Linked DNA regions of Tamandua tetradactyla. The protein of the gene in region 1 interacts with the protein of each later gene in a biochemical or structural test. Links are inferred from orthologs where the notes say so. Each region holds a gene or a part of one and is shown on either strand. Other genes may lie near its edges.

The links.
Region 2: the proteins of LRP1 (region 1) and DAB1 form a complex in vitro, tested with the Homo sapiens proteins (2 studies listed by BioGRID). The link is inferred for Tamandua tetradactyla from reciprocal best matches to the Homo sapiens genes LRP1 and DAB1.

Annotation. Positions count from the first base shown.
Region 1 is NC_135333.1:124,309,296-124,325,924, reverse strand, and holds the start of LRP1 (prolow-density lipoprotein receptor-related protein 1), read right to left. Parts: upstream 7,225-16,629; 5' UTR 6,799-7,224; coding exon 6,663-6,798; intron 1-6,662. UniProt on the Homo sapiens protein: Endocytic receptor involved in endocytosis and in phagocytosis of apoptotic cells. Required for early embryonic development. Involved in cellular lipid homeostasis.
Region 2 is NC_135328.1:163,547,990-163,563,741, forward strand, and holds the start of DAB1 (disabled homolog 1), read left to right. Parts: upstream 1-7,893; 5' UTR 7,894-8,022; intron 8,023-15,752. UniProt on the Homo sapiens protein: Signaling adapter of the reelin-mediated signaling pathway, which regulates the migration and differentiation of postmitotic neurons during brain development.

The DNA.
Region 1 (16,629 bases):
ACACATCAAGGATGGCCCCGCCAGGCCCCCCCACCCAGAGTCTCCATCTCCTACACCCCCCCACCCCCACCGCGAGCCGGGAATAAAGGCCCCTTGAGGAGGTGGATAATGCTGAGTTCATTGCCCCACTGGGCCAGCTGTGAGGTCTTCCCGGGAAACACAGTCTGCCAGCCTAGTTAGCATGCCGGAGAACCGTCCTCTTCCCCTGGCCAGCCGAAGCCGGCTGGGCGGCTGGGGGGGCTGGAACGGACTCGGAGGCAGATGGGATGTTTGGAGCCCAGAAACGGACCCCTACGCCACCCTAAGCTTCACCGCATTTCTTCAGTCCTCCACGGGATGCCTGTCCCGGGGTCAGGTTCTGCAGACAGGGTCTGAGGTCACTGGTTGGTCACTCGGACCTCCCCTCCACTCCACGTCCCAGCCTTGGTCCCCCCACCCCCGCTCTGGCCCTCACTTAGTCTCCTGACTGTCCCCCACCCCCATTTTTGGCCTGAACTCGACAGAGGAAACAGCAGCTGGCAAACTCCGAAAGCTGGAATGAGAGAGATTCACAAACCAGATGTGCTCTCTCTCTCTCTCTCTCTCTCTCTCTCTCTTTCTCTCTCTCTCTCTCTCTGACGGAGGGGAGTGGGGAGCGAAAGGAAGAGGACGGCTCAGGGCCCCTGGCCCAACAGCAGCATCAACTCGGGCCCAGGGGTGGGGTGAGGGCACATCTCCCAAGGGCCAGGGCAGCACAAGCACCCAAGGATGGAGGAGAGATAGGCAAAAGGACTTCCTTCCTCCCTAACAGGAGAAAGCCCCGGGAATCTTAAGTTAGGAGGCTGAGGCCTGTCTTTGATTTCCTTCACGGGGAGAGGGGAGGAACAAAACAAATACCTTACTTTGGGGCAGTCTACACAGCCAAGGGAAGCCTGGCTCTGGGCTGGGAGGGAGCTGTGCTGGGGGTGGGGACCCGGGAGCTGCTGGGGGTCAGCAGCCAACACCCCAGCCTTCCGCCGAGCCCTCTGCAGTTGAGCCCAGCACCCGGAAAAGCCACCTTTGTGGCCTGCAGTTTAGACGAGGCAACAACCCTGCCCGAAAGAAAGTGGGCAGCAGCTAGTGGCCAAACCCGCCCCCAGCACTGGGGCTTCCCAAAGATATTTAGATCCTCTCCACCCCGTGATGTGGGCACCATGGTGATTCCCATTTCACAGATGAGGAGACTGAGGGGCCAGGGGATTAGTAAGCGCACTCATCCGCCATGGCGAAGGGGTCAGATTTAGAAGGCAACGGTAGGGAGAAGGTTTTGGCTCTCTTGTCACTGGGGATGCAGAGAGGGACCTTGGAGGTGGTAGTGGTCTAGTGCTGTGCGTGGAGGAGACCCAGGGGACAAGCATGGGTCTTGGACGAGGAGGGACGAGAGGAGGGAGAGGAAGGAGGAGAGGAGAAAGGAGGAGAGCGAGCGAGGCTGAGGCAGAACACAGGACACAGGGCCGTCTGTTCTCAGCTTTGCCTGGAGATGAGTGTGACCGCCATGCTAACTCTGGTCAACACCCCTGCCCGCCCCCACCCCCCGCCCAGACCCAGGCGCCCAGCCCAGCCATGGCCCCCAGGGCCACCACAAGCTGGAGCCAGGAGAGGAGGTGTAGGGTTGGGTGTGCATCCAGACACAACACGGACCCCACTGCCTCACTGGGACCTTGGCTCCCACCCTCTGTCCTGTTTTGGGACCTTGGGGAGTAGGGAAGGGGGGCTGGCAAGTGCCTGGTCAGAGAAGAGAGGGCCACAGAAAGCACAGACCCCTCAAGGAGTCTTCTCCAGAGGAGATGGGCCCATCATTCCCCAAGCCTGTGGGAGCAGTGAGGAGGAGGAAGAGAGGTGAAGGCTCAGATGGTCCTTCCCAAGGGACAAGGACAAGGAGACAGGGAAAGCATGCAGGAGACCCTCGAGACCCTTTCCAAGAGCAGACAGGGAAGAGGGAGAAACTGTGTGTGTGTGTGTGTGTGTGTGTGTGTGTGTGTGTGTGTGTGGGCGCGCGTGCGCGTGCACGGGGTGGGGGAGGTTGTTGAAGGGGGATCATGAGATATATCTGAGGGGACAGAGGAGCCAGGGGGTCGCTGGGGGGGGTGGGGGTGGGGGACAGAGCCTGCCAGAACCTGAACTTATAAACACATGGGGGTGGGGCGGCGAAGGCCTTGCAGACCCAAACCTAGGGCTTTTCACTTCATTTTATGTATTTTGGGTGTTACCCCTTGGCTCCTTCCTGCAGCTCAGTGAGGCTCAGACACATTTTTGTCATTCCTGAGTCTGGGCCTCTGCTTTGTGGCCTGGACAGAAGGACAGACAGGGTGGCTTGAACCGCAGGGAGGGGAGAAGGGTCTCCCCCTTCATCCTGAGTCAATATTGACTCAGCAGGACATTAGCCTGGACCGTGACTTCTCCACCATCTTTTCCTTTCCCCACAAATAAAATCCAGACCCTTCAAATGCCTCCAGAGGTCACCATATCTCTCGCCAGGCTTTATTAGCCGCCTTCCCCACCCCCCCGCCCCCCACCTCCCACACACAGGGCCTATGCTTACTAGAAGTAAAAGCTCTAAGTTCCTGACTCATTCTCCCCATCTTTCTCCTGTTCTCAGGCTCCGGCGCATGAGGAAGTTCCTACAGAAGTCTAACCTCCTTCCTTCCTTCTGAGACACCTCCCTCTTTCCTCTTACTCAGCCCACAAAGGAGATCAAGTTCCCTTCTTCCAGAAACATTCTCTCCGAAATCCATTCCCAAAAATTAGTGGAGGGGAAAAGAGAGAGAGGAACTTGGAGGAAAGTGGAGGGGGAGCTTTCACCACTGAACCAGACCTTCTTGGGTCTGGCCAGGGAGGGAAAGAACAACTCCAAAATGATGATGGGAGCTGGGGAGCATGTGGGAAGGCCCAGGAGACACTCCTGCTCCCAGGTAGTTCTCAGGGTACCAAGAGGCCCGATGGAAGTGAATGGCAACAGGCAGAGACATATAAGACAAGTGACAGAGACCAAGAGACAGGACAGAGAATACCATGGAGGATGGGCAATAAGAGAGTTGAGCCGAGAGGAGAAGAAACAGAGGGGTTCTGCGTGGCCAAGGCAGCTCAAACCAACGACAGACAGAGGCAAAAAAAGGCAGGAAGGATCTTAGCCCAGAGGCTGCCAAGACAATGACACAGTTGCCCTGGGATGAACCCAGAGAATGACAACCTCCCTGAAGCTCCGAGTAGGGTGGAAGGCAGCATACACCCTGGGCTGGGGACATAATGCCCCTGCCGTAGCTGCATCTGACCCAAGGGAGACCCAGAATGGGGACCACTGCCTCCCATGGAGTCAGGAGGAAGGGGGAGACGAAGACTGGAGCTCCTCTAGCAGGGAAGCTAGGGCCCGGGGAGACCCTCACCTTCCCTGGGGGAGCAAGAGGGACAACAGCTTCCCCTCCTACTCCTCTCCCCAATGCCCCCTCACTTCCCAAGTCTTTCCCAGGGTGGTTTTACATGGGAGCCTGGGGCCACTGCTCCGGAAGCACTCCAGAGCCAACTGCTTCCTTCTCCAAACAATGCAGGATCCTGCTAACCCGGGTGAAATCTGGGACAGAACACAAAGTGGGCTCTGTGTGTGTGAGTGTGTAGGGAGACTGGGTTCCCCAAAGGCTCACACCCGGCACCCAGAGTGCCAAGGCAAGGACCTTCGTGCATCCCACTCAACTGCACCCAGATTTCCCAAGAACAGAGAGCCCCCAAACCAAAGCTAGAGGAGAGTTAGATGGAATAAGGAAGGACTTCCCAAAGGGAAGGAAAGGGGGATTTAGGCAGGATTTGGCTCTAGCCAAGGCTCTGGCTGACATCTTTGGGCGATACAGTAATGGGAGAGTTTTCGAGGGCAAAAATAAGGAGAAAATGGAAGGAGAGGGAAGGTGAGCAGGATTGGAAAAAAAGGTAGTTATGTGATATAGCCCCAACATCAAAGTATTCTTCCAACCCCAAAATGAACGTTCTACATAAACCCCTCTTTGAAAAGTGAGGGTCAGGGGGGACGATCTAGGATTTAGGTCTGACCCGAAGAGAAAGGGTTTGCAACCTTCTAAGGAATCGAAGGGTAACACCCCAACCTCATAACTCACTTCAACGGTCCACCTTGCCTGCTAACTGGTAATACCCCGACGGGTTCAGAGATGGGTGGAGAGGAGTAGGAAGAGAGGAAAGATGTCAGCATTTCCCCGCAACCCACGTCTGCCTGGGGCTGTCCTTCCCATTACACAGCGTTCCCTGATTTCAACCAGACCCTCGAAAACCCCTCTTCCCATTCGCCATCCCATCTGGCTCTCCATCCTCCCCAGCAGCACCAGCACTGAGTACTAGTGGGAACTAACACGACTCCCCAGAGAGGACTGTAGGGTGGATTTAGGCACAGAGGAGAGGGGGAGGCCCCTGTGCAGGGAAAGCAGCAGGGCCTGTGAGAGCAGGAGGAAGGGAGGTTAGGACCAAGCCAGGGGGCGTCCTTCTCTGGAAGCAAAGGAGAAAGCTCAGGGTGTGCACCTGAAGCATGAGGGTGGGGTAAGGATGAGAGGACCCTTTGGTTGCCCCAGGATAAAGACAGATGGTGGCACAGTTCTGGGCAGTCACCGGTCCACTCCCCAGCCCTGTCCATGGGGTGGACCTCATCGCACCAGTCCCATTCCCAGGATGAGAGTCACGGTGTGCTTTGGGGGAGGGGTCCTCTTTCTAGGACTTTGGGAAGAGGTGTGAGCTGGGGCTGCAGCAGGGGATTTTAAGGAAGGATAGGGAGATAGTTAAGGAAAACTTATCCCATCTTCCTCCTTCTTGAAGGAGGAGCCAGCTTGAGGTGGTGATTACAGCCCTTTAGAACTCTGGGAGTGAAGCTACCTGGAGCCCATTCCTGGTCAGGCTGGGGGCCTTTTCTGCTTTCCACAGAGACCCCTTGCTTTTGCCTAACTCTGTCCACCCTCTTTCATGGGGTTCCTGATGGGTCTTTCTCTTTCTCTTTCCATACTAAAAAATATATATATATATATATATTTTTTCCCTATCCATTCCCAGAACTGCAGCACTAAAATCTCTCTGCCTCAGTTTCCCCTCCCAACCTACAGAGCTGAGAAACAGAGGCAAGAACTTGCATGACTGAGGGAGTCATGGGCAAAGGCTGGCTGTGAAGGCTGGTCTAGAGGATATTCAGGGCAGAGTGCCTTTCTTTCTCTTGGACTGATAATTGAGGGAGTGGGAGGGGGTGCAAAGAAACAGAGCCCTGGATGGGATAACTGAGGGCCACTACACATATCCTCAGTATTCTGGGCATCGTTGCTTCCTGACCCCATAAACCCCTCCCCCAAGTGAAGCAAGCTCCAGGGAGGGCAGGAGAGGGAGAGATAATCTGGTTTCAGGGAAAAACTTTCCCAATCACAACCTGGCAAAATTCAGAAGATGGAGGAGGAGGGGGAGGTAAGGGAAAGGAGGACAATTGCTTGTTGCATGATGGTATCCGGCCCAGTCCCCGGGCCCAAACCCATAACCCCAGCACAAATCTTGGGCAAGACTTGAACAAGTGAGTCACAAGTAAAAGGGAAAAAAAAACAGCTGACAGAAAAAGGCCAGAGGGTGCATCCCGTTTCCCCAAAGGGACACTGTTCGTTCTAGCAGAAACCTAACTCTGCAGTATACAAAGTATGTATATATCTGGTTGAGGTAAGGTGGGATAAATAAACACATTTACCAAAGGATCAGGGAATTGGGGTATGGGGGTATGGCTATAAACCTAACCCACCCTCCAACTCTCCTTCTAGACCCAACTGTGATCAAGCCAGAAGCCAGGGAGAAAGCAGTCCCCCCACCCCCACTCCAGCATTCCAGGCCATTCTTCAGTACCCTTCCCCAATGATGACATATGACGTTTTTTCATCTCAAACCTCCCAGGAATTAAGAAGGAAAATTCAAAGTCACAAAGCATCCCCTGCACCCCTTTAGCCCCCCAGTACAGCTCTTCCCAGGCTACTGACAGAAGTCCTGAGGCCAGGAAGTGCCGACTCCAGAACGCAGGCAGGCGCCCTGCTGGATCCTGGATCCAGGCCTCCAGGCCTGGGCTCCCGGGCCCAGATTCCACACCCAAGCAGGGGGCCTTCCCCATGGCCCTCCCTCTCCCCACCCACAGCCTTCTTGGGCCTGCCTGCCCTCCGCCCAGCAGGGCATCCCTGGCCCTGCTACCCTCTTCAGCTTCAGAGGCCAAGGCAGAACCCCACCCCCCCCACCCCCGCCCCCTTTTGCAGCCGCACATTGCAAACCAAGATTCCTTCACAATTCAGATTGGGGAGGGGGATGCAGGATGAAGGGGAGGCAGAGGCCCTCCCGGACAGAGATAGGAATAGAAGGCCTTTGGATCTCAGGATCAGAAAGGGGGAGCCCTCATCTCCCTACCCAGGCCTCTGGTCTTTGTCTGGGCTGGGGGGTCCCTGAAGCATCATTTGCCCAGGCCCCCATCCCCCCAAATCATACCCCCATCCCCGCCCCCAGTGGGGCCGCTGCTGTGTCAGCTGGACTGGGATAACAAAAGACACCCCCTCCCACGTCTCTGTTCCCCGGCTCTACGCAGGAGTGGGGGCTGGGGAGGGGGTGTCCCCGGGGGTCCAAGGGGGCCGCGGAATCTCACTCACCGTCGATAGCCGCCGCGACCAGAGCTGAGAGCAGGGGCAGCAGCAGCAGCAACGCCGGGGTCAGCATGATGTGGGCTGATGCAAGCAGCAGCTCCCTCCCCCCGGGTCCTGCTACTTCTTGTCTTCGCCCCCCCATTTGGGGGGATCCCCCCTTTTCCTCCTTCCCCTCTTCTTCTCCGCTATTCTGATCCTTTCCTTTGGCAAAGCGCACCAGGGGTGTAGGTGAAGAGGCAGAGTTGGGAGTCCCTTGCGGAGGGCCTGCTGACGGGGGTGCGCCCTCTGCCCCCAAATCCAAACCCCTCACCCCCTGCTGTTCTCCTCGCTCTTCTCTCCCCCTCCCGGGGCGAAGCTCACAGCCCCATCTCGGAGCCGCCTCCGGCTGCAAAAATGCACAATTGGGAGGAGGCGGGGAGGGGGGAAGGTAGGGGGCGTGGACCGGGTGGGGGAGCCCTTGAAAGGGGCCTGATGGAGCTCTGGGGGCTCCCCTCGTTTCCGCCTCCTCAGTGCACGGGCCCGGAGCTCACACCGCTGTTCCTTGGACTGAGATGCTGCGGGGGGGCCGAGGGGGGAGAGGGAGGGGACCGGGAGAGGAGCGAAGGAGGGAGGGAAGGGGCGGGGAAAGAAAAAGTGTAGGGGGGGGGGTTGTAGAAAGAGCTACGCGGCAGTCCTGGCAGTGCGCATGCGCCGGTTTGGCGCGCTGCCCTGGGGAGGGGGAGTCGGAGGAGCACCGAGACTTGAGCTCTGAAGCGGTCGGAGTGTGGGGGTCCCGGGCATCCGCCAGTCCATTTGGGACCCGCAGCGCCCTCTCCCCTGAGTGGCCCCTTGCTCTGCGCTCCAGAGAGCTGAACGGGCGAAGTGGGGAGATGGGCAGTGGGCGAGGAGAGCCGCTCCTCTTAGAAACTCAGAGTCGTACCCTAGGATTTCATTCCCCCCCCCAACTTCCCAGGGCTGGGGGTGTCCAAGACTCCGAGGTCTGCTGACGAGGCCTCCCCCGCCTAGGGTGGGGGCGGGGCCGCCAGTCCGCCGGGAAGGTGTGGGGAGAGGCCGGGCTTTGATTTGGAGACTTTGTAATACCGGGACCGGGATTGGGGCCTGCGGCGGAGGGGGGCGGGTGGAGGAGGGGCCGCGAGGGCCCGCCCCCTGGTCGCTCCGGGGTTCGGAGTAAACAGGGACACCCGCGGGGACACGCCAGAGCTTGTCCGCCTGCCGAGGGCTCGGGGATGGAGCCCACCTTAGCACCCGCCCCGCCCTGCTCGCCTGGCACCGGGCGCGGGAGGGGCAGGCTCTGGTTTGGAGGGAGGTGAGTCACTAGCGGGTGGCGTTGAGGAAGGGCCACCCCCCTTCGCCCCCAAGAGGTTGAGGCTCATTTTGTTTTGTTTTTTTGGTTTTGTTTTGTTTTGTTCTAATCTTCTGGCTGGCTTCCCACCAAGTCAGGGTTTTAGATTCCTGAGCACCAGGGATTTGGAGTCAGAGGAGAGACTCTGCACCTCTCTGCTTCCAGCGTGGGGTTCTAAGGGGGTGTCTGCTGAGAGACCTTTGTCCCCAGCCCGGAGCCTGTACGGGAATGCTACTTTGAGTCCTGAAGGCGCTGGGGGTTCCCCGAGTCCGAGAAGGTGCTTCTGGCTACTGCCCCCTTCTGGGTGGTGTCTTCAGGCAGTATCCTTGGTATCTGACTTTCTGGATGTGTGGAAGTCAAGAGTTCAGAGACCTGGGGCTGGAGACACTGGCAGCAGGAAATCAACCTTAGAGATGAGTAACAGTTGCTGCACCCTTCTCCCTTCCTAAAAATCTAGTCAAAAAAGGTCCCAAGTCCTCACTCCAGTCTTTCCCTTACAGGGACAGCATGAAAAAATTGTTAGTGGCAGTGGGAGCACGAGAGGACTCCAGAAAGAACTTGACCTTTACCAAAACCAGGGATTCTTTCGAGCCCTCTTTGCTGCTTTGCAAGCCTGTGTTCAAGGCTTGTCATTTTTTCCTTGGAAATATATCTCAGATTTCCTCCATTTCCACTGCATGAGAAAGTTTCTCCAGAGGGGCTGGGGTCTTATTCATCCTTGTATGCGGACCTCATGGCCTAACTCCTGGCAGGGACTCACTAAATGCTTTTTAATGAACGCTACTAGATTCCTCCCTCTCCCAGGGCCCCCTCGGAACATTCCAATCCAAGTGAAATCAGGTGGAATCGGACTTCTTGCAGCTTTGAAAGGAAAAAGGTATCTGAGTGACTGTGTGGCCCGAGGGGGCAGCCTCATTCCTTTCCCTTCCATCTGTCTTATACCTGTGAATCGTCTTAAAACTCGGCCTTCTCCCTGTCTCTCCCTTGCTGGTGACCCTCTCCTGGGTATTTATAGGCAACTGAGTCAAGTGTGAAAGCTTCTCCCAGACAGTCACGGCCTTTCAAAATCTGGCCTCAGCCAGCATATCAACACTGACCTCTGGCTACCTCCTCGCTCCTGCTGTTTCCTAAATGTGAATGTGTATTTATTTTTTAAGAACTTTATATTGTAAAAAAAAAAGAAGTGCATGCCTAGTGGTTTTAAAAACTCAAAGAGGATAGAAAGGTACAGGTGAAAAGCAAACTTGCCACTCTTCCACACTCCCATTCCTCAGCCACGTCCCCAGAGTAACCGCTGCTAATAGTTTCTTTGGTCTTCTTTTTTTTTAACGTTAGACAAATATTAATGAATATCTTTAAATAACACAAATGAGCTCCTACAATATTATACTGTCCTATACCTTGCTTTGTTCAATGAACTCATCTTGATTCCTTTCTGTATTATACTTACATGTCAAGCTCATTCTTTATATTGGCCACTTGGGATCTCCTTGCTTGGACACTCCATAATCTGTTGGGATGGTTGGGCACCTGGGTAGTTTCCCGTATGTGGACTGCTGAGGGTGTCTCTAGGAGAAGAAAATGCTCTTTCTACCTGAGCCTTTGTTAAACTGTTCCCCAGCTTCTTTCTGCCCTCTTCAGAAAAACTTTCCTATTACTCTATCTCTGCCTATCTATCTGTTCTAAACTTGCACTCATGGTAACCTCCGGCCCCAGAGTTTAGCGCTCGATCATATGGGTCCAGGGTCCACCACCAGACTATAAACTCCTTGAGGGCAGGGACCATGTCTTTTACTTCTTTGTATCTACCTGGGCTTAGCAGTTCTTGATTAGTTTGTAGGGAGGCTGGCAGGAATGTTAGGACTAGGGGTACCTGACCTGGAGGAAGAGACAGTCATAAATAATTGATGTCAGATGGGATATGACTGTGAGCAATCTCACTTCCCTATCTTTTCTCTTATAGTATTCATCATTCAGTCCCTCTCTGCCTCAGTTTCTCCTCTTTCTTCCCACTGCTGTTCTTAGGAAGGTTTTTCTGTCCTGAAATTTGGGAGATGGAATTTGGTGAAAGTCATGGGAAATCAAGGAGGAATTCTCTACAATCCATTACTGGGAGACCTAGAAAGCTGAGAGTGGGCAAAAAAGTTTGGACCACTCTCCCCCCAATCCCCCCCCCCATCAGCAAATTGTTAAAAACCCTCCCTCCCCCTCCCTTTTCTGCCTGGGTACAACAGGGTCTGGGATAGGGCAATAATGGGGCAGCTCTGGGACTGAATTTCAGACCACAAACTGATACCACCTAGTGGTCAGTACTAGAAGTGTGCACAGGAAGGGGTATCTTTGAAGGGTCTGGTGGAAACTGGAAAGAGGGAAGAGCGCCAACAATTATTGAGTACTTTACAAGTGCCAGGCACATGCAGTGAATTTTATATGGATTCACTTCCTTAAGCCTTTTAACCACCTTGTGACGTAGGGGTTATTTCCAGTTGGTAGATAAGGAAATAGACCCTCAGAGAGATGAAAGAATCGGCCCCCAATCATAGTGCAGATTTGTGCCCATGTTTCACTCATTTAATAAACATTCATTGGGTATGTCACCTGCCAGGCACATTACAAGGCACTAGGGACAAGAGATTGAAACACACCCTCTCAGGCTTCAAGAAGCTCACAGATGAGTGGGGTTGCTCAACAGGTAATTGACAGTCACAGCACAGGACCTGAAACCTATGATAAAGACATGCACAGAGGGCCCTGAGAACCCCGAAGGGACACTTATTATAGATGAAGGGATCAGGCCAGAGCAGGACATGTGAAGACAGGATAAATGTTGAAAGAGACGAAGGAGATGACAAGTGAGGAAAGTAGGAAAGGGTATTTTAGGTAGGAAGGAGGAGAGGCTAAAGGAGTAAGTTTAAAACATTTGGGAAACTGAAAAATGTGGTATGGATGAAGTTTGAGGTACTTTTTGGGAGGGTACTGGGTATGTCACAAAGGCTTTTGTGTGTCACACTAAAGACTTAGCATTTTTTTCTTTCTTAGAAGGGATAGGGAGCCAGGTGAGAAATGATGTTTTTAACTAATGCACTAGTGATAGAATTGGAGAGGAAGAAAAGAATTCTAGAGGCATTAAGGAGGTAGGATCAAGTATAATAATTGGTTTTTCATGTAGGTCTAAAGGATGGTGACAGAGAGAGCTGGGCCTTTGAGAACACATTAGAATGTTCTCAAAGCTCTCAAATTTTAGCTGCACATTAGTATCACCTGGGGAGCTTTTAAAACTCCCAATACTGAAGGATTTATACCACTTTACTTCAAGACTTGTTAGCTACAGTAATCAAAAGAGTGTGGTAAGAGCTTAAGAATTGACAAACAGATGGAACAGACTAGAGAACCAGAAATAGACTTGCACTTAAAGGTCATTTGATTTTGACAAAGGCGTCAAAGTAATCCAGTGGAGAAAGGGATGTCTTTCAACAAACGATGTTGAAAAAACTGAAAATCTCTATGGGAAAATAAATGACTCTTGATCCCTACCTTATACCATACACAGAAGTTCATTCAAGATGGATCATAGACCTAAATCATAAAAGTGAAAATCTTAAGGCTTTTAGATTAAAATTCAGAAGAACATCTTCAAGACTTGGAGGTAGGCAGAAGTTTAAGTCATAGAAAATAAAAAACCTTGAAAGAAAAAAAAGATAAACATGAAAATTGAAAACTTTTGCTCATCAAAAGACACCACTAACAAAATGGAAAAGTAAGCCAAATAGATAAGTAAACCATTGATCTGACAAATTACCAATTTCTAAAAAAAATGGAGAAAAGATTTGAACACATACATTACAAAAGAACATATACGAATGGTGAATAAGCACAAGAAAAGTATTCAACATCTTTAGTCATCAAGAAAATGCAAATTACAATCTAAAAAACAGAGAGAGACCAATGAGACATTGACAATTAAATGCAATACATGGTCCTGAATTGGATCTTATAACGGAGGAGAAAATCCCCAAAAGGACATTATTTGGTACAATTGAAAAAATTGGAATATAGACTGTGTGTTTTATATCAATGTTAAATTTCTTAAACTTGATAATTGTATTTAATGTGGTTACATAAGTGAATATGCTAGTTGCACCAATTTGAAAGTATTATATACCCCAGAAAAGCTATGTTTCAATCCTGATTCAATCTTTTGGGGGCAGCCATTTCTTTTAATCCTGGTTCAATATTGTAGGGTGGAAACTTTTGATTAGATAAAGATGTGACTAGACCTATTCCAGGTGGGTCTTGATTAGTTTACCGGAATCCTTTAAAAGAGGAAAAAATTTGGAGCGCGCTCAAAGCAGAGCAGAAGTGGATGTTTGGAGGGCAGTCACTTGAGAGGTGACAGAGCTGACACGAGACCTGGACGTTTGGAGATGCAGGGCCCAGTGATGTTGCTGTGTATCTTCCCATGAGATGCTGAGCAGGCCAGAACCTAGAGTTTGTTTCCCAGAGGAGCCAAGTGAAGGCCCACGGACGCCAAATGAGGAACCCCCACAGGAAACAGAGGTTGAAAGCCACAGAGCCCAGGAGCAAGGGACCAACAGATGCTAGCCACATGCCTCCCCAGCTGACAGAGGTGTTCCAGACCCATTGGCCATTTTTGAATTAAGGTATCTTTTCCTGGATGCCTTAGTTTGGATATTTTCATAGGCTTAGAACTGTAAACTTGTAGCTTGATAAATTCCCTTTATAAAAGCCATTCCATTTCAGCTTAACAATGAATACAGATTTGGGTACTAGAGAAGTGTGGTGCTGCAGTTTGCAAATACCAAACATGTTGAAACAGCTTTTAAAAAGGATAAGGGAGTGTGCACGGGTAGTTCAGGGGTTAGAATGCCCACCTTCCATTCGGGAGACTCGGGTTTGATTCCCTGACCATGCACCCACCCCAAAAAATGGATAAAGGGAAGATTCCAGAAGAGTTGTGAGGGTCTTGATAGAGAAGGCCTAGAAGGCTTTGAGGAAACTATTGGTAGAAATGTAGACTCTAAGGATACTTCTGATAAGGCTTTAGACAGAAATGATGAACGTGTTGTTGCTAACTGGAAGGCATTCTTTGTGGATGGAAGACAGAATTTGAGAGTGATGAACTTAGATATTTAGCAGGAGAAATTTCTAAACTAAGTGTGGAAAATGCAGTCTGGCTGTTCCTTGTAGCTTATAGTAAAATGTGACAGGAAAGAAATAAGTTGAGAACTGAACTTTTGGGTACAAAGAAAAGAGAAATTGATGGTCTGGAAAATTCCAGGCTTCCAGAAAGTGAGACCCCAGTGAATAGGATCCGTATTAGCTAGGGTTCTCTATAGAAACAGAATCCACAGGAAATATCCATAGATATAAAATTTATAAAAGTGTCTCATGTAACTGTGGGAGCATAAAATCCAAGGTCTGTGGAACAGGCCATAAGCTGGTAACTATAATGAAGGTTGCAACAAACTCCACAGGAGAGGCTCACTGGCTGAAGCAGGAAGAGAACCTGTCTCTTCTGAATCCTTCTTAAAAACCTTCCAGTGGGCCAAGATGGCGGCTTAGCAATGTGCGCGTTTTAGTTCGTCCTCCAGAACAACCACTAAATAACCAGAAACAGTACAGAACAGCTCCTGGGGCCACGTCAGTGACAGGACAGACAGCGTACCCCAGTCGGGACCAGCTGAACCGGCTGCAAGCCCCCCCAAAACCGTGAGATCCCCAAGCCACAGCAGCTGGCGCCCGGCGCCCCTCCCCCACAGGCAACTTCCCAGAGGGAAAGGAAAGAGACTCTAAACCTGGTCAAGGCAGAGGTTGCTCATTGGGCTCACGGAAAAAGAGGAAAGGGGAGGAAATGGAGGCTTTAGTGGCTGTGTCTCTACGGAGACTTGGCAGCCTCTGGATTCAGCAGTGGGACTTCTCAGGCTGCAACTGCCCCAGGTATAGGCAGAAATGGGTTGCTTTCAGTGCTGTTTTCCACCTGTGCCTTCCCCAGGAGAGAGGTGAAGCCCAACTCAGGTGGAATCCCTCCCTCAAGGAATTCAGACCTCAGGGCTTGGCAATTTGAAGCCATTAAAACCAGCCTACAACCTCTCCTCCGTCTCCACCACGCCCCCAGCAGGGAGAGTCTTACAAAGTCAAAAGTGCTGCAACATCGTTTGCTGGTGTGACCCGCAGGCAGACGCGCCACATACTGGGCAGGATAAGAAAAACAGAGCCCAGAGACTTCACAGGAAAGTCTTTTAACCTGCTGGGTCTCACCCTCAGGGAAAACTGAAGCAGGTGACTCCTTGCCCCTGATAGGAGGCCAGTTTAGTCCGGGAAAACCTGGCTGGAGTCTATAATACCTACGTAGATCCTACTAAGGATGGGGAGGGAAAAGGCGCCATACAAGCAGGGCAAGAAACAAGAAAACAAGAACTGAAAAATTATCCCCTGTTAAACAAAACCTAAGCTAGAGGTCCAGAAAAAGCTGAACTGAAGGTCAAAGAACAGATAGACAACAAATTCATCTAGCAAGAAAACCCTAGATGAGAAGTGAAAGCAATCACCAGAATAAACCAATTAAGGTAATTAAATGTCTAGATGCCAGCAAAAAATAACAAATCACACCAGAAAAATTGAAGATATGGCCTAGTCAAAGGAACAAACCAATAGTTCAAATGAGATAGAAGAGCTGAAACAATGAATTCAGAATATACGAACAGACATGGAAAACCTCATCAAAAACCAAATCAATGAATTGAGGGAGGATACAAAGAAGGCAAAGAATGAACAAAAAGAAGAAATGGAAAGTCTGAAAAAACAAATCACAGAATTTATGGGGATGAAAGGTACAGTAGAAGAGATGAAAAAAACAATAGAAACTTACAATGGTAGATTTCAGAAGACAGAGGTTAGGATTAGTGAACTGGAGGACGGGACATCTGAAATCCGATAAGATACAGAAACTATAAGGAAAAAATGGGAAAATATGAGCAGGGACTCAGGGAATTGAATGATAATATGAAGCGCACAAATATACGTGTTGTGGGGGTCCTGAAGGAGAAGAGAAGGGAAAAAGAGGAGAAAAACTAGTGGAAGATATTATCACTGAAAATTTCCCAACTCTTATGAAAGACCTAAAATTACAGATCCAAGAAGTGCAGCTATCCCAAGGAGAATAGATCCAAATAGACATTCTCCAAGACACTTACTAGTCAGAATATCAGAGGTCAAAGAGAAATAGAGGATCTTAAAAGCAGCAAGAGAAAAGCAATTCATCACATACAAGGGAAACCCAATAAGACTATGTGTAGATTTCTCAGCAGAAACCATGGAGGTGAGAAGACAGTGGGATGATATATTTAAATTACTAAAAGAGAAAAACTGCCAACCAAGAATTCTATACCCAGCAAAATTGTCCTTCAAAAATGAGGGAGAAATTAAAACATTTTCAGACAAAAAGTCACTGAGAGAATTTGTGACCAAGAGACCAGCTCTGCAAGAAATACTAAAGGAAGCACTAGAGACAGATACGAAAAGACAGAAGAGAGAGGTGTGGAGAAGAGCGTAGAAAGAAGGAAAATTAGACATGACATACAAAATGCAAAAGGCAAAATGGTAGAGGAAAGTACTACCCAAACAGTAATAACACTAAATGTTAATGGATTGAACTCCCCAATCAAAAGACATAGACTGGCAGAATAGATTAAAAAACAGGATCCTTCTATATGCTGTCTACAGGAAACACATCTTAGACCCAAAGATAAATATAGGTTGAAAGTGAAAGGTTGGGAAAAGATATTTCATGCAAATAACAACCAGAAAAGAGCAGGAGTGGCTATACTAATATCCAACAAATTAGACTTCAAATGTAAAACAGTTAAAAGAGACAAAGAAGGATACTATGTACTAATAAAAGGAACAATTAAACAAGAAGACATAACAATCATAAATATTTATGCATTGAACCAGAATGCCCCAAAATACATGAGGCAAACACTGCAAACACTGAAAAGGGAAATAGACACATCCACCATAATAGTTGGAGACTTCAATTCCCCACTCTTATCAATGGACAGAACATCTAGAAAGAGGATCAATAAAGAAACAGAGAATTTGAATATTACAATAAATGAGCTAGACTTAACAGACATTTATAGGACATCACACCCCACAACAGCAGGATACACCTTTTTCTCAAGTGCTCATGGATCATTCTCAAAGATAGACCGTATGCTGGGTCACAAAGCAAGTCTCAACAAATTTAAAAAGACTGAAATCATACAAAACACTTTCTCAGATCATAAGGGAATGAAGTTGGAAATCAATAATAGGCAAAGTGCCAGAAAATTCACAAATATATGGAGGCTCAACAACACGCTCTTAAACAACCAGTGGGTCAAGGAAGAAATTACAAGATAAATCAGTAAATATCTCGAGGCAAATGAAAACGAAAACACAACATATCAAAACTTATGGGACGCAGCAAAGGCAGTGCTAAGAGGGAAATTTGTTGCCCTAAATGCCTATATCAGAAAAGAAGAAAGGGCAAAAATACAGGAATTAACTGTCCACTTGGAAGAACTGGAGAAAGAACAGCAAACTAATCGCAAAGCAAGCAAAAGTAAA
Region 2 (15,752 bases), on another chromosome or scaffold:
TGTGCAGCCTATAGCTTACACTATAGAGTTGTGGTCTCTTCATTGGCTTTTTGGGACAGAGAGGAAAAGAACCATTGAAAGGTGTGACTATAGTTTAAGAGCTTTTTGACCAGAACTTCTCAAGGAATGAGGGAATATCACGATTTGGAAGGAGAACTTAAAAGATCTGATTATCCAAGGCCCCTTCTTCCCATTTACTTTCACCACCTGAAACTTGAATTTCTCTATCACCATCTTGCCAAGCCACCATCCCACCTGTATTGGATTTACTCAGTTCCTGGAAAGACTTCCTTTGTCATGACACACATTGCATCTCTGGACAGTGCTTTCATTTTATGGATGGGGCTTCCATTTTGGGACCCATTCTTGCTTTAGCCCCCACATTGATTGCTTTGGCCATATCATGTATACCAGAGAGTATTTTTTTAATCTAATATTTTATTCAGGACTTCCACTATTAGCACAAAGATCCATGTTGGGCCATAATAGAGTGGGACCTAAACGGATCGTGGGGGCTGGTTGACCCTTCCACCTTCTCTATACCTGCTCTTCAAAAAACAAAACAAAACAGATTGAGGTAAAATAGAAATAGTGATATTCACAGATCTTATGAGTACAATTTGATCACTTTAAATAAATGTGTATACCTATGGAATCAACTTTACATTAAAGATGTAGTGCATCCCATTATCCCTGAAAATTTCCTGTTATCTTTCCAGGTAATCCCCCTCCAGAGCCAGCAACTATTCTGAATTTTTTCATCATAGGTTAATTTTGCGTGTTGTCGAAATTCCTATAGAATCACATTACTAACCTGTTTTTGGGTCTATCTTCTTTCACTCAAATTGATTTAAAAATCCATCCATGATGTTGGGTATATTGGTAATGCATTTCATTTCTCGCTTAGTGATGAACATTCCATTATAGGAATATTCTACTACTTTTTTATCTATTCTATTATGGCTAGACGTTTGAGTTGATTTCAGTTTGGCCTATTATGAATAAATCTGCCATAAACTTTCTAATATACGTCTTGTGTACATGTGTTTTATTTCTCTTGGGTAAATATCTATATGTGGAATACCTAAGGGTGAGTCTAACTGTAAGTATGTGTTTAATTTCATAAGAAAGTACAAAATAAAGTGGTTATATCATTTTATACTTTCACCAGCAACATTTGAGAGTGCCACGTCTTTACCAATAATTAATGTTGTTAGACTTTGAAATCTTAGTAAGTATGAAACTGTATCTCATTGTGGCTTCTTTATTTGCATTTGTGCATTGTAATGTGCATTATGATCAAGGATGATGTAAAGCACCTTTTCATGTGCTTATTGATCATTCACTCATCTCCATTTTAATTATGTGATTTGTTTTTATTATTGATTAGTTAGGAGTTCTTTATATTTTCTGCATCCAATTTGTCAGATATATGTATTGAAAATATTTTCTCCAGGGTTGTGGCTTACCTTTTCATTTTCTTAATGTCCTTTGATCAGCAGAAGTTTTACATTTTTATAAACTCTAATTTATCATTTTTCTCTTTTATGTTCAATAAATTTTTGTCCTCTCTAAGAAACTGTGCAAACTCTCAAACCATTACGATACTCTCCAGTGTGCTCCTCTAGAACTTTTATAGCTTTAGTTATTCTATTTTGTTCTACATATGGCGTGAGAAAGGGGATAAAGTTCATTATCTTCCATACATTTATCCAGTTGTTCTACTACCATGTTTTAAAACTTTTCTTTTCTCAATGATTTGCATTAGCACCTTTGTAAAAAACATTAGTTGGCCGAATATATGTTGGTCTATTTTTGGATTCTCTATTCTGTTCCATTGATCACTTGGTCTCTCATTAATGCCAATATCATACTATCTTGATTACTCTAGTTTTATTGTAAGCCTTGATAGCAGGTCGTGGAAGCTCTTTAGCTTTGCTATTTTTTTTTTTTTCAGGATAATTTTGACTATTACAAGTCCTTTGTATTTCCATGTACATTTTAGAATTAGCTCATCAGTTTCATGAAAGAGTGTAGCAGGGATTTTTATTAAGATTGTACTAAATGTATAGTTCAGTTTGTGGAGAATTGACATCCTAACAATACCGAGTTTTCCAAACCATTAACATGGTATACCTCTCCATTATTTTGCTTATCTTTTAATTTTCTCAGCAAGGTTTTGTAGTTTGTGGTGTAGAAATATTGTAGCACTTTCATTCAATCATTTCTAAATATTTTATGTCATGCCATTGTCAATGGTATTTTAAAATTTGATTTTCCAACTGTCAGTCCGATTAACTGTATAACTTTGGAGAAAATGTTTAACCTCTCTGATTTTATTTCTAATCTGTAAAATGTGAGCACAGTGCCTTGATATTCTTCATAGAACCAAGCCAAGTACAAATATATAAAATATCTTGCTGGAGTACTTTAAGAACTAAATTGGATAATGTACAGGAAGTGCATAAAACAATGCCTAATGTATTTGGCTTTTGATTAAAAGTGACAAAAACTGGCTTAAGTAAAAATGGAATATATTGTCTCCTGAAACTGAGAAAACCCAGGGGGTAGGAGAGTAGTTGGCTTCAGGCATGGCTAAACCAAATTCCCTGAACAATATCATCATACATCTCTATTTTCTCTCCTTCTGTTTTAGATGTATCAATTATTTAATTTTGTTCTTTGCAAGTTTAGAACACCAACTTGTGAGGGTAAACACCATTTGGAAAATATGGAATCCTTCACAAATTTGCGTATCATCCTTGCATGGGGCCCTGCTATCTTCCCCGTATCATTCCAGTTTTAGTATATGTGCCACAGAAGCGAGCACTGTTTTCTTATCTTTTACTCCTCTTTTCTTCTCAGTTAGTTTCATCCTCCAAATGCTTTCTTCATGGGATGGGTTCCGGCAGTTATAGGCTTAGCATCTTTCCAGTTTCAAGTTCAGTGGAAAAGAGAAAACATTTTTCCATGTTGTTCCATCATCCATTTGACTATGTCTGAACTGTGGCCAAGAGAATATGTTGCACTGAGTTAACTTGTCCAACCCTGGAGCCAGGGATAGAGTCAGCTCCACCAAAACTAAATGGAGAAAAACCTGTTCAATGGGGGAATGGGGATCTGGGTGTTGTTTCCAGATGAAGCAGGAATGGGTACCACTGAGGCAAATGACAAATATCTACCAGAACTCTAAAATAATAGCCAAAAATTAAATGATAACTGTATCCCTTTCTATGCTGATTCTTCCCTGTTTCTATACTCCCTAAGTATCAGAAACTCAGCCATGTTTTTATAGCTTTGAGCCCACCTATTTCTCCAAGCACTAATATCACCTTAAGCTCCCCTTTATGAGTGAAAACATTGTGGGGGGGGGATGTAGTGGGACACAAGAGGCCTTTGACAATCATTTTAGCTTTCTACTTGTTTTCTATTGTGCTTTAAGCTAAAAAGAGCAGACTGGTGACATAAATACTGTTGCATTGTTGCTGCTCTCCTTGACCCCTCTTGGTGTGTGTGTAGCAGGGGTGGGGGTGGGGTGGGGTTAGAGGGTAGGGGGGGGTGGGACAAAGAATGCTATTTAAAGCTACTGTCAACCAGAGTCAGGTTTAATAATATTGCTATGCAACCTTTCCCTGGAATTAAGCAAGGCCAGTAACATAGGTATCATGAAAGAAGATAAATTCTTTTTTAATGAAGACACATAGAAATATTTTTTTTCATAGGATTTTTAATCTTAGAAGAAAAATAGGAATTGGATATTTTACTTGTGTCCAGTGCACACAAGCAAAGTATGCCAAATGTGATTACTTTAAGGTTTGCAAAATATTTATCTCCTTTTTTTTTCCTGTTTTTTTTTTTTAAAGTGATCCCTTTAATTTTCATGCTAAATTCCATTCTCCTGAATATGGCAAATAAGACCTTTTATAATTTGTTCTCGCTCCCTTATCTAGATTCAACTATGCCCTGCCTCCCACCCCCAGAGAAAATTCTCTATGCACTTACTCTTTTCTTTGCCTGGAATGCCTTCCCTGCCTCATCTGGTCACCCAGTTATCTTTCAAGATGGTAACACCTCTTTCACAAAGTCTTCTTAACTCTTTACCTGAGTTAGATGCCCATGTTTGATGCTCCCCGAGCACTCCGTACTTGTCAGTATTATAGCATTTATCACAATTTAATGTGATGATGAGTTTCCTTCCCCTAGCTATGAATTCTTTGAGGGCATTTTTTTTTTCTTTCTTTCTCTAACATTGTGCCTGACAAAGAATAAGCATTAAGTGAACATTTGTTGAATGAATAGAATTTTCTTCCCAAAATACAGAATCTGAGTGTGAATATGAATCTCAATGAAAGGGACAATGAGAGGCTTAGATAGATTTGGAATTAACCTTGGAATCTGTGTGTATGTAGTAGTATACTTTGAGCACCTAAGATCTTCCATGAGCCTGATAGGGATAATCCTACTGGACAGGTTTAACAGTTTTATTAATTTGAGAGCTTTATATGTATAGAAACTTTAGCATATTCTTGGTGTATGTAAGCACTACAAACTATTAAATAAATAGAGATTATGTAATAATTTGAAAACCCCAAAGCTTGCAACACAAATCAAGATATTATACTCTTTACAATGAGAAGCATATTTGGAACAATTATAGGAATAAACAGAATTGTAAATGCTATGTAATACACAGAATGGACTACTTTGCTTTCCCCTTTTCAGAGGAGTAGTTATTTGGCAGGATTTATGATTTTCAACATTTGGTTAACCATGGGTCAGTCTTAAACAGCACTTACATAGGCTGCCCTTTTGAGTATCTTGAGAATCCTGTTCATAGGAATCAATTATGTGAAGGTTCAATAATGTTCCTTCTCACCCATGTGCATGCTACCCATGTCCATGTCTTTTATTAAATTGACTCTGAGTTCCTTGAAGATGGGGTCTGTTTCTGATTTATCATCATTATCCCCAATGCCTAGCACAGTGCCCGAAAAGATGGCATATACTCCACAAATCCTCCTTAAATTAAAATGAACAATGTTGGAATTATTTTGGGAAGAAAATAGATGTTTATTGTGCAACTTATACAGTGCAAGACATGTCCAACATGCCATCTCATTTAAGGCTCACAGCAATTTCATGAAGCAGGTATTGTGTAGTTGAGAAGTTTGAAGTTCAGAGAGGTAAGTAACTTGCCAAAGATGACTGAGGCCCATCAAAATCCATACTCTACCCAGTACAGTACCCAATAAGAGTACTTCCTTCACTGGGCTGTCATGTAGGTTAAATGAGTTAATATATGAGAAGCACACAGAATGGGTCCTGAAATAGAATAAGTGATATATAAATGTTTGCTCTTGATCATCTGGTTAGTCTGCTGTTTCTCAGAGTAGATGATAAAGAAATATTTATCAATTATTTTTTCTTATCTTGCACTTAATACAAGTGACATCATTGCCAGAAACCTAAATAATAATAGAAAAATCACCCTAAATTTTAGATGAGTAGTCTGACATGTTTAGCATAATAGTTTAAGAATACTGCGTTAAGATTTGTTTTAAGTTTCATCCAGAAGACCACTAGGCCCTTGCTGGGCAGCTTGTATGCCATCAGAATCTATAGATTATGCTTTCTTCCGGTCTGGAGTGAGGAACAGCTGCAGTGTCTTGCCCTTTTGGATTGCATGGGAATGTGCCCAGTTTCCACAGTGGACCCAGTCCAATGCTGAATAGAGATTGAGTTTTAACTTTATCCTCTTTCCCTTTCTACTCCTCAGCCAACTTGGTGTCCTGCATTCCCTTCAAAGTCTGTAATCACAACATCAGTCCAACACAGGACCTGATGGAAGACAGGAGGAGACAATTCACATATGCAGGGCTAAATGCATGTGAATGTTTTTTTATGTTCCATGATTGCCCTCAAAGCATGGAGAAATTTCAGAGTGTTTCTTGGTAGAGTCAGTAAAAAGTTGTATAGATGGTCCATTAACCACAGCTTGACATTTGTCCCAGCTACCCCTCCCCCCATTTCAGTCATAGCTTCTCTGAATTGTCCATGTCTCCTAAGTTCTGTCTTTATAGACAAGGAAAAGCCTGGCCAGCCTGAACTTCATACTGAATGAAACTGAAGTGATAAGGTGTCAGCTCTTCCTACTCTCTAGAACGCTGGGAAGATTTGAGAGACTTGAGCCCATTTTCCTGGTCCCCCACTCTTTGCTGGCTACCCCCAGAAGTAAGTTGGAGCAGGGTAGGATCAGGGGTGAGGACCCTCTCTCCCCCACCACCTCCACACACCTTGTTGGGAGTTTCCTCTGATCAACTAACTATTCTCCTAAGATTGCACCCTGCCAGTGACCTCACACATTTTTCTTGTCTCTATGTAAATTGCTATCTTTTCAGGAGGTGCATGACAGCCTCCGATTGTACGGCCTCCATTTGTACAGAAGCTGTTATTACGGAATAAGTTTAATGGGTCGTGAATTTTGTGGAGAAAGGGAGGGTCTCGCGATGACTTCGTATGTACCAGTCATAGACCTATTGGCTCCATAAGGAGTGCATTAGGCTAAATATTTTTAGCCCATTGACTTTGGAGGTAATAACCCTAAATGCTTCATTAAATTTTCATGGGTGAGCTACAGAAGCTATGAGGAAAAACAAAAACCAAATCCACCACATTAGCTTTATTATTACACAGCTGGAGAAGAGGAGCATAGCCCCTAAAAAGGAATACAAATAAACTTTTTAAGGAACTACTGACTGCCCCTTCCTTTCCTCCTGGCGCCCTGCTCCAGCAAGGTAGCGCTTGGTTTGAGTCCCTACCCTTCCACCCCCCACCCCCCCACTCACCCCACAGCCCCCTGCATCTCGGCCTCTAGAGACAGGAATGGTGCAACAGGCATTTAATGGTGTTGAAGAATTTACTGGAGCTGAAGAATTTTCAGAATATATTTTCTGCAATTTGGCGTTCTTAAGATCTCCGTAAAATATGGCCCAAAGCAGGGAGCGACTGAAGTGTATACGCTGGAGCATTCTCCCGCGCAGGTTGAATTCAGCGATCTAATCTACGGATTGTGTACTCCCAGGCATTCTAAGAACCGGAGCTAGGGTGAATTGGGGCATATTCTCGGGGGTGTTGACTCCTCCCAGGACCGATGAAAACCAGACAGACGCACATCTTTTTTAGCCCAAGTTTGCCTCGGGAGTTTCAGTAACAACAGCAAGAGCCGAGAGCCAGGGTAGGCGGCTGAGAACCAGCGCCCCCTCCTGCAGAGGGGCATGGGGGCAACACAACCCCGTGAGACTTCCCTGATTTTTTTTTTCTCGCCCACTGGCACTTTTTATATATTGGTATGTGTGTGTTTTGAGGCTTGGATAAAAGAGAAAAATGAGGGAGGGTCGGGCGGGGGCTGCTGGTGGTGGCGGTGATGCTGGCGAAACGACGGATACTTTTGGGAACCCGGAGTCTGGTTGCTTTTAGCCCTCCTCCTTCTCCCAATCCTGTCTTCGTCGGCGCAGCTGGGGCGGGGACCCGGTGCTCTCTGATCCACTCACCCCCTTCCACGCCGGGATGGGAAGTGAACGCAGGGGCTCCAGAGACGCGACTGCGAGCCGCGGCGCCCCCGCTCGCTCGCTTTTCCTCCTGGCTGTTGCCACCGCGACTCGCCTAAGCTCTCCGAGCGCGCTCGGGCGGCGCACAGAGCGCCCCAGCGGGAGCCCGAGCCCTAAGGCTGAGGCACGCGGCGCGCCGCGGGACCAAGGAGGTGAGCGAGGCCGCTGGGCGCCGGGCGGGCGCGGGGGGCCTCGGGGCGGGGGCCGGAGGAGGAGGCGGGTCTGCGCGTGGGGCGGTCTCCTCCCCCTGCTCTGACGCCAGGCCCGTGGCTCCCGGGGAGGATGGACCCTGCACCGCGCTCGCCGGGGCTTCCCCGGACTGGAGAGAGCGCCTGAGTCCCGTCGCCCAACCGGCATGGGGAGCCGCTTCCTGGGCGGCTGCGGCAGCGGAGGAGGATGTTGTCGGCGAGCCGAGGTGAGGCGCGGCGAGGGCACGCGGCAGCCCTAGAGTTCAACCCGGACAGGTGCCGGGCGGAGACACAGCGCCCGGACACCTGGCGTGTCTCCGCTGGGGACCCCGGGGCTCCCCTCTCGGGAGTTTGGCAGAGGGCGCTGCGTGGGTATGGCGACTGCAGCAGTTTACCGCTCGCTCCCTCCACTTGCTGGAGTGGGGGAGAGGGGCGACCTCTGCTCCTTCCTCCCGTCCTCTCTCCTCCCGCAATCTCCGTACTTCTGGCCACGCGCGATCCTCTTTCTAGACTTGCTCACTCAGAATTGCTGGGCTGTCTCCGGATCCGCAGCATCCTCCCTCTTGGGGTCCCAGCTCTGTCCATCTACGAGCTTTCCTTCTCCCACCCCAGAACCTCATCTGTGGTCCCGGACCCTGCTCCTCTCTCACGAGCAGCGCACCCAGTCCCGGACGAATCGTATTCTCACTTGCCTGCTACCTGGCAGCGCTGCGGTTCTGCCTGGACCTGTCGGAAAACCGGATCTGTCCTAGTAACCGCCAACCCTTCCATGTAAATATCAGGGCTGGACCCCACGTCTCTTTGGGCCCCAGCCTTCCCTGGGTCCTCCGTCGGCTCAGATCTCTCCGGCTCCTCGGTCCCTCCTTCCTTCCCATTTTTACTTCTCGGGCTCCACGCCATCCCGATACCTCTCCTCTCTAACCCTCCCCTGTCTGCTTCAGACTCGATCGGCCTCGGATGCAGAACTCCGATTTTTGTTTTTTGTTTTTCCTCCTATTGGGGAAACTTTAAATAAATGCCCGTGGTTCGGCGCATAAAGGAGCCATGAAAAGGGGTTCCTAACCTCTGAGAGAACCGGTAGTCAGAGAGTGAGAAATGGGGGGGGAGGGGGGGGGAGGTTGTGTCGCGACGTCTGAAAGGGCCCGGGCGGGTGTAGGAAGTAGTACATTTTTAAAACGGGGGTGTTTGCTGCAGCCAGGACCCTCCTCCCCCACTCGCTCCGTCCCGCCAAGTGTTATTGTGACCCCTGCTGGGAGGGCGCGTCTTTTCTCTGCACTTCCTAAGGCGCGTGGTTTTTCTTTTTCTTTCCTTTTTTTTTTTTTTTGTTTTTTTTTTTTTGGTGCTGGTGGTCAGAACCCGACTGAGGTCTGGGAGAGGGTGGGCACTGACTGCCTCGCGAGACCGATGGCACTTGGCTCCTGCGCAGCTCCTCCCGGCCCGGCCAGACTGTGTACGTTTCACTCCGTAGAAACCACCCCCCAACTGCATCACACAAGTCCTCATTGTTGGGGGTCTGCTGCCTTGGCACTTCCGCCTTGGCGGGGAGAATCTGAAGGAATGGAATGGGGGTGGGGAGGCCGGGGGCGCCGGGCGTCCGTGGCCTGGCTGTTGCCCGAGGGTCCGCAGCCCGCGGAGTGGCGGGTGCCGCCGCGCGAGTGTGTGGCGGTGAGGGTGGGGTGCGTGGGTCGGTGCCTGCGCGTGCGTTTGGATGTCGGTGCACGGCCGTGTTTTAGCGCGATCAGAAAGAGGGGCGAGTCGAGAGCTCGCTGAAGCGAGAGCGCCTTTCAGTGCCCCGGAGCTGGGCGGGCGGGTACCAACTCTGAGATGGATGCTACAATGCAGTTCCTAGCGTACCGGCGGGGAACCGAGCGAGAATCTGCTCTGCTGCTTCTCCACCCACTACCCCCCTCCTGCTCCCCTCCTGCTGGCCCATTAGATGCACTTTCACAATGTTGATGGTTTTGGATAAAGGCCTTGTAGGGGTTCAGCTGACACTTCATAACACTTAACATGTTTTCAAGTAATCATATAAATTAAAGGTAGCTTATGTTCAGAACCCCCTAATTATCCAGTTCGCGTTTGTACATTTATGTGCCAATTATAGGTATTCGGGGGAAATCCATAAAATTATAAACCATCTCCACCCCCTGAATTAGCACCCATTGTTTATTATTATTGTTTTTTTTTAAATCAATCTCAGCGGTGAGTGATTTGGGATGGAACCCCGAGTTTCAGTCAAGAAGATGCAAGGGACGGGGGAGGGAGAGTTTGGAATAGGAACAGTCCCCCCCCCCCCCCCATCTCTTTCACTCCCTATCTTGACAGGGCTTGGTGACAATTCTGGAAACTGAAAGGGATCAAAGATTTTCTTGATTTCCTATTGAGAAGGGCGACCTAATCAAAGCTGTATAAAAGTCAACTTCTGAGCAATCAGAAATTGTCTGCTGATGTCCTTGATTGAAACCCCAGCATTCAAATGGAGTATTGAAGAACTCCCAGAAATGGCTTTTGAAGAGCTATTGTTCTTTTCCACACACACAGACTCTTTTAAAGGTTGTAGGAAGTTTAAAATGTAGTGGTTTGAAAAGACAGACATTGTAACTATTTGGCAAGAATGGTTAGGATCTGCAGGGATGAGAGAAGAGGCCCAGGTGGGAAGAGTAAACTTGTTACTATCTTCTTGGGAACAGTGACACTATCGAGTGGAATTTCAGTTCTACACATGGAATTGGCAATTAAATGTCTTCGTAAAGCAGATTTAGAAGATGATTTTTACTAGCTTTTTATTTTTTTTGGTGGTTTGCTTAAGGTCTGAATAGGCATATCTGAAACATTTAATCATGTTCATTGTATTCAACAATAAAATCTGAATAAAAATTACTTATTGTTGATGAAGCTCATCTTGCAAGCTGTTGCACAGTATGTCTCCGTTGCAAGACACAGGATTGTGTGAGGCTGCCGGAAAGAGATTCTATCACTTATTGTTCATTTTCTCCTCCCAAAGCCAGAGAGGAACATGCTTCTTCACTCCTCTTTGCCGTCCAAAGTAATTTTTCTTAAATGAGTGGGTGTTTGGCTTGGTACCTGATAGTACCCATCTTATAAATTGCATTTGGTGAATTTCTGATGCCCAAAGCCACCCTGCAGGCAGATGAAGAAACTAATTGAGGCAGCATTTCATTTTGATGATTCACTCAAGTCAAATATTTTGTTTTTGGTGGAATTTTAATCTTTCTCTCGAACTAACAAAGCTGACAAAGCAAGAAAATCAACTTATGTCTTTTAGATGGGCACTTTAAAAAGTGACATAAATTAAAGGGGTGTTGTCATGAACTTTCAATCTGTTATTTAGGATTTACTGTGACGAAGGCTGGTGTTCACTGGCTGAGTTAAGTGATTGAATCTAAATCGCTTAATCTCTCAGAATCTCAGTCTCATCATGGAGTTTTGGGCAATTTTTTTTTGTGGAGAAACATTTCATTGAGTGCTTGACGCATAGCAGGATTTCGAGAAAATGGTAGCTTTTAGGAAGGAGAGACGATGGCATTTGGAATTGGAGGACCTGAATTGAGTCCAGCTGCTTCCTAACTTTGTGATGTTTGGCAAGTCACAGTTCTTATTAATAAAAAGAAAAATAATAAACAAATAAACATTTATAGAAAAATAAACATTTATAGAATACTTACTAAGAGTCTGTTGCCCTTTTAAACACTTCACATACATTAACTTATGTAATAACCCTAGGAAGTAGATACTGTATCTTTATTCTCATTTGATGGATAAACTGGGGCACAGAGAGATTTAGTAACTGGCCTGAGGTCACACAGCAAAGAAGGGATAGAAGTAGTATTTACTTTAAATCTAAGCATTCTGCTTCCAGGGTGTGTTCTAACCACTGTGCCTCTGAGTAGGGAGATGATCCCGGCTATCCCCCAGGGTGGTTGTAATATTTAATAGGGGATAGTGGAATAGTAAGACCTCCTGTAGAATATTCTACAGATTTTCCCAATTTCACATGCTACCTACACGAAATAGGTGTTCCATTGCCAGCAGGGCATTGGGCTGATGGTGGTAGGAATTTTTAATATTTGTGACTTTGTGATAACCCCTGGCAGGTATTGGTTAACATTGTCCACTCTGTTAAAATATTCATTAGTTAACTGTACAGAAATGCATATTGCTGCTGCTGTCAGTTACTGGCTGTGGCAAACACCGATTCTCAAATGAAAAGGTGTTAGAACAGGTGATTAGAAGCCTGGACTTGGGTGCTTGATTGCTTGGGTATGGACCTCAGCTCTCCCAGCTCTGCCAGCTGTGTGGCCTTGGCCATGGTATTTAATTTCTTTTTAATACCATTTCTTCATAATAACAGTGCCTGTGTCATGAGATTGTTGTGAGGATTGTAAGAATTAACACAAAGTGCTTAAAGTGGCACCTAGCACAGATTGTTACTTAGCTACTAAAGTTATCCTTCAAATAAGAGAAACATCCTTCACCTTGTTAATAAAAAATTGTCTGTCATTGATATGCATTCTGATAGTATCTGGTCTGTTTTTTTGTTCTTTTTTCCTTGTTTGCTAACCAGGTGATAGAGAGAAAGAGATACTTATCAGGATTTTTAGGTCAAGGTTTTGTTTTGTTTTAGATAATTGGAAATACTTCCTTGAACATTTCCCCTCTTTGTGAAGGGAATTGTGAAGCATACATAATACTAAAATCTCCATGTCACTGTACTTTTCAGCAGTTATTTTGAGGAAAATAATATGACTTTGATTTTGATTGAATCTTTGAGGTAGAGTAGTCAACTTTCCCAATTGACAGATGGGGTGGAAATCAGGCTGGGGGAGATACCTTAACTTTACATTGGAGCCCAGAATTTCTGTGCTCCCTCCACTAGACCAGATTGTCTCCTATACCAAGGTAGAGAAGTCGCTTGAAAAAGTGAATAAAATTTGGATTAGGAAAGATATTGATAAGTTAAGAGCAGGAGCCAGCCAGATGTTCTATACTGGAAAAATTGTGCCCAGTAGGAAAAGAAAACCCCTTCTCTAGTAAGTAAATTTATATCCATGAAAACTAGCACTGAACTCAGTCTATGAAATGTGAATCAGGATATGAACTCACGTAAAAAAAAACCCAAAAAAAATCATTACGCTAATTAATCACCTGAACACTTCCCTTAGGTTGGGGAGCAAATGTTTAGATTTCTTTTTCTGTGAGATTCTTTTCATGTATTTCTTCCATTTAGTCCTCAGATATGGGAAGGTTTTGGTTCAGGAATCATAAAACTCCTCTGGCTTCTACTTCATGAAATATGCAGCATATTCTATTGGAAAGAAATTGCCAGCTTGCTTTTATTATTATTATTTTATTTTATTTGAAGCTGACATATAACCAATCTACAATGCCAGTGGGGGATTCTCATAAAGAGAAAGAAAGACAGAAATAAAATTCTGCTGAATACAAGAGCTCACAACTAAAATGATGCAAGTTCTGTGGTGGCAGCAGTGGGCAGTTTAGCTTGGGGAGTGAAAATGGGGGTGGAGGGGCACCTCTCAAAGAGAGTGACTAGTTCAGAGTGTACCCATGTCAGCAGTGTTGCTGACCTACAGTGAGCCATGCAAAATTACCAACCCTATATATCTGCCCAGAGCTTTTTACCAATAATCTCTGACATGGTTGGTTGGTTTCTCTCTCTTGATTGGACTCATGATCACTATCAGTTTAGCCAACTCTTTCTCTGCCTGTCTCTGCCTTTTACTCTCTCAGTCTTTTTTTTTTTTCTTTTTTTCAGTCCTTATGTCTGTCTGTTTCTAATCTTGTTAGGTTTGCATTCACAGGAGAGACTAAAAAGTTATGAATAGTGTGCCTGTCTCTGTGCTAGGCATTGTGAAAAATACCAACATGAAAAGGTATTCTCAAGGCATACAGTCTGTTGCGTAACTGCTACGGTGTGAGATGTGGTACAGAAAACGTCTGTATAGCACTGGAAGCTTCCAAGACATAATTGTATTCTGTCTGGAGAAAGGACAGCTTCTTAGAAGATGTTTTTCAGCTGGTTCGTGAAAGTTGACCAGTTTCTCAGAATGCAGGCGTTCCAGACCAGGAGAACTGTAGGGACAAAAGCGTGTAGACGTGAAGGTTGATAATTGGTTTGAGATGGGCATAGTTGGGTGTGGTCATAATATAGAAAATGTTGTTCTAGGGAACACTATGTCCCTGAAGATCATTATGAGTAATTCAAAGGTAACAATGTACAAAGAGAAAAATTCCGCAGTCAAAAATGTTTGGAAAGTACTCAATTATATATCCAAAACTTAAGAAGAAATGGTATTTACTGACAAAGTAAAGGTTTGTGGACTTCCTGCATTAAAGAAACTCAAAAATTTAACTCTTCAAAAAATTTTTAAAATCATATTTTCCATAGAAACTTTGACTTCAAGGAGCACTGTGTTGGTTTGAAAGGATGTATGTCCCCTAGAAAAGCCATGTTTTAATCTAAATCCCATTTCATAAAGGCAGAATAATCTCTATTCAATACTGTATGTTTGAAACTGTAATCAGATCATCTCCTTGGAGATATGCTTTAATCAAGAGAGGTTGTTAAACTGGATTAAGTGACATGTCTCCATCCATTTGGGTGGGTCTTAACAAGTTTCTGAAGTCCTATAAAAGAGGAGACATTTTAGAGAATGAAGGAGATTTGGAGAGAGCAGAGAATGCTGCAGCACCACGAAATAGAGAGCCCACGAGCCAGCGACCTTTGGAGATGAAGAAGGAAAACGCTTCCTGGGGAGCTTCAAGAAACCGGAAGCCAGGAGAGAAAGCTAGCAGATGACACCGTGTTTGCCATGTGCCCTTCCAGCTGAAAGAGAAGCCCTAACTGTGTTCTCCATGTGCCTTCTCACTTGAGAGAGAGACCCTGAACTGCATCGACCTTCTTGAACCATGGTATCATTCCCTGGATGCCTGTGATTGGACATTTCTATAGACTTATTTTAATTGGGACATTTTCTCAGCCTTGGAGCTGTGAACTAGCAACTTATTAAATTCCCTTTTTAAAAGCCATTCCATTTCTGGTATATTGCATTCCAGCAGCTAGCAAACTAGAACAAGCACCTCTCAGCCTCTTATGAGACAGTTTGGGATAAATGTTTGCAAGGAATCCCTGAAGATTTTTTTTTTGTATGCTGTATGGTGGGCCACATTTCGTTCTTTTTCATGTGATTATCCCATCATTGCAGCACCATTTGTTGAATTTTTGTTTGTTTTTTCTTTTGTTTGCTTGTATGTTTGTTTTTTGGGGGAAGTGCATGAACAGGGAATTAAACCCCAGTCTCCCACATGGCATGCGAGAATTCTACCACTGAACTACCCTTGCACCCCCAGAATCACTTAAGATTTTTAAGAAGAGGAGTTGATTTTCTTGAAACTAATGTATTTGATTTTAAATGTAGTTTGGAGTAGTTAAGGTCTAAAAAAGTGTGAGTGACAAGACGCTCTGTACCTACCACTTGCCTTATGAAATAAGGTCGTACAAATTCAGTTGAAGCCTCTTGGCATCTACTTCCTTATCACATCTCTTTCCCTCCTGCCAGAGGTAACCACTGTACTAAATTCGGCCCTTATCATCCCATACAATTCTTTTGAATATGGTGTTTTCTAAAGCTGCCAGAATGCAATGCATGGGAAATGGGTTGGCTTTTAAAATGGGAATTTATTTGCTTACAGATTTACAGTTCTAAGGTCATGAAACTGGCCAAATTAAGGCATCAAAAGGATGATACCTTCTCTGAAGAAAGGCTGCCGCATTTGTCACAGGAGAAGGCATCAGATGGTGTCTGCTGGTCCTTCTCTCCTGAGTTTCATTCCTTTCAGTGTTTGACTTCAGTGGCTTCCACTATATGCTTCTTTGGGTGTGTCCCTGTCTTTTAGCTTCTTTGGGGCTTCTCTGAGC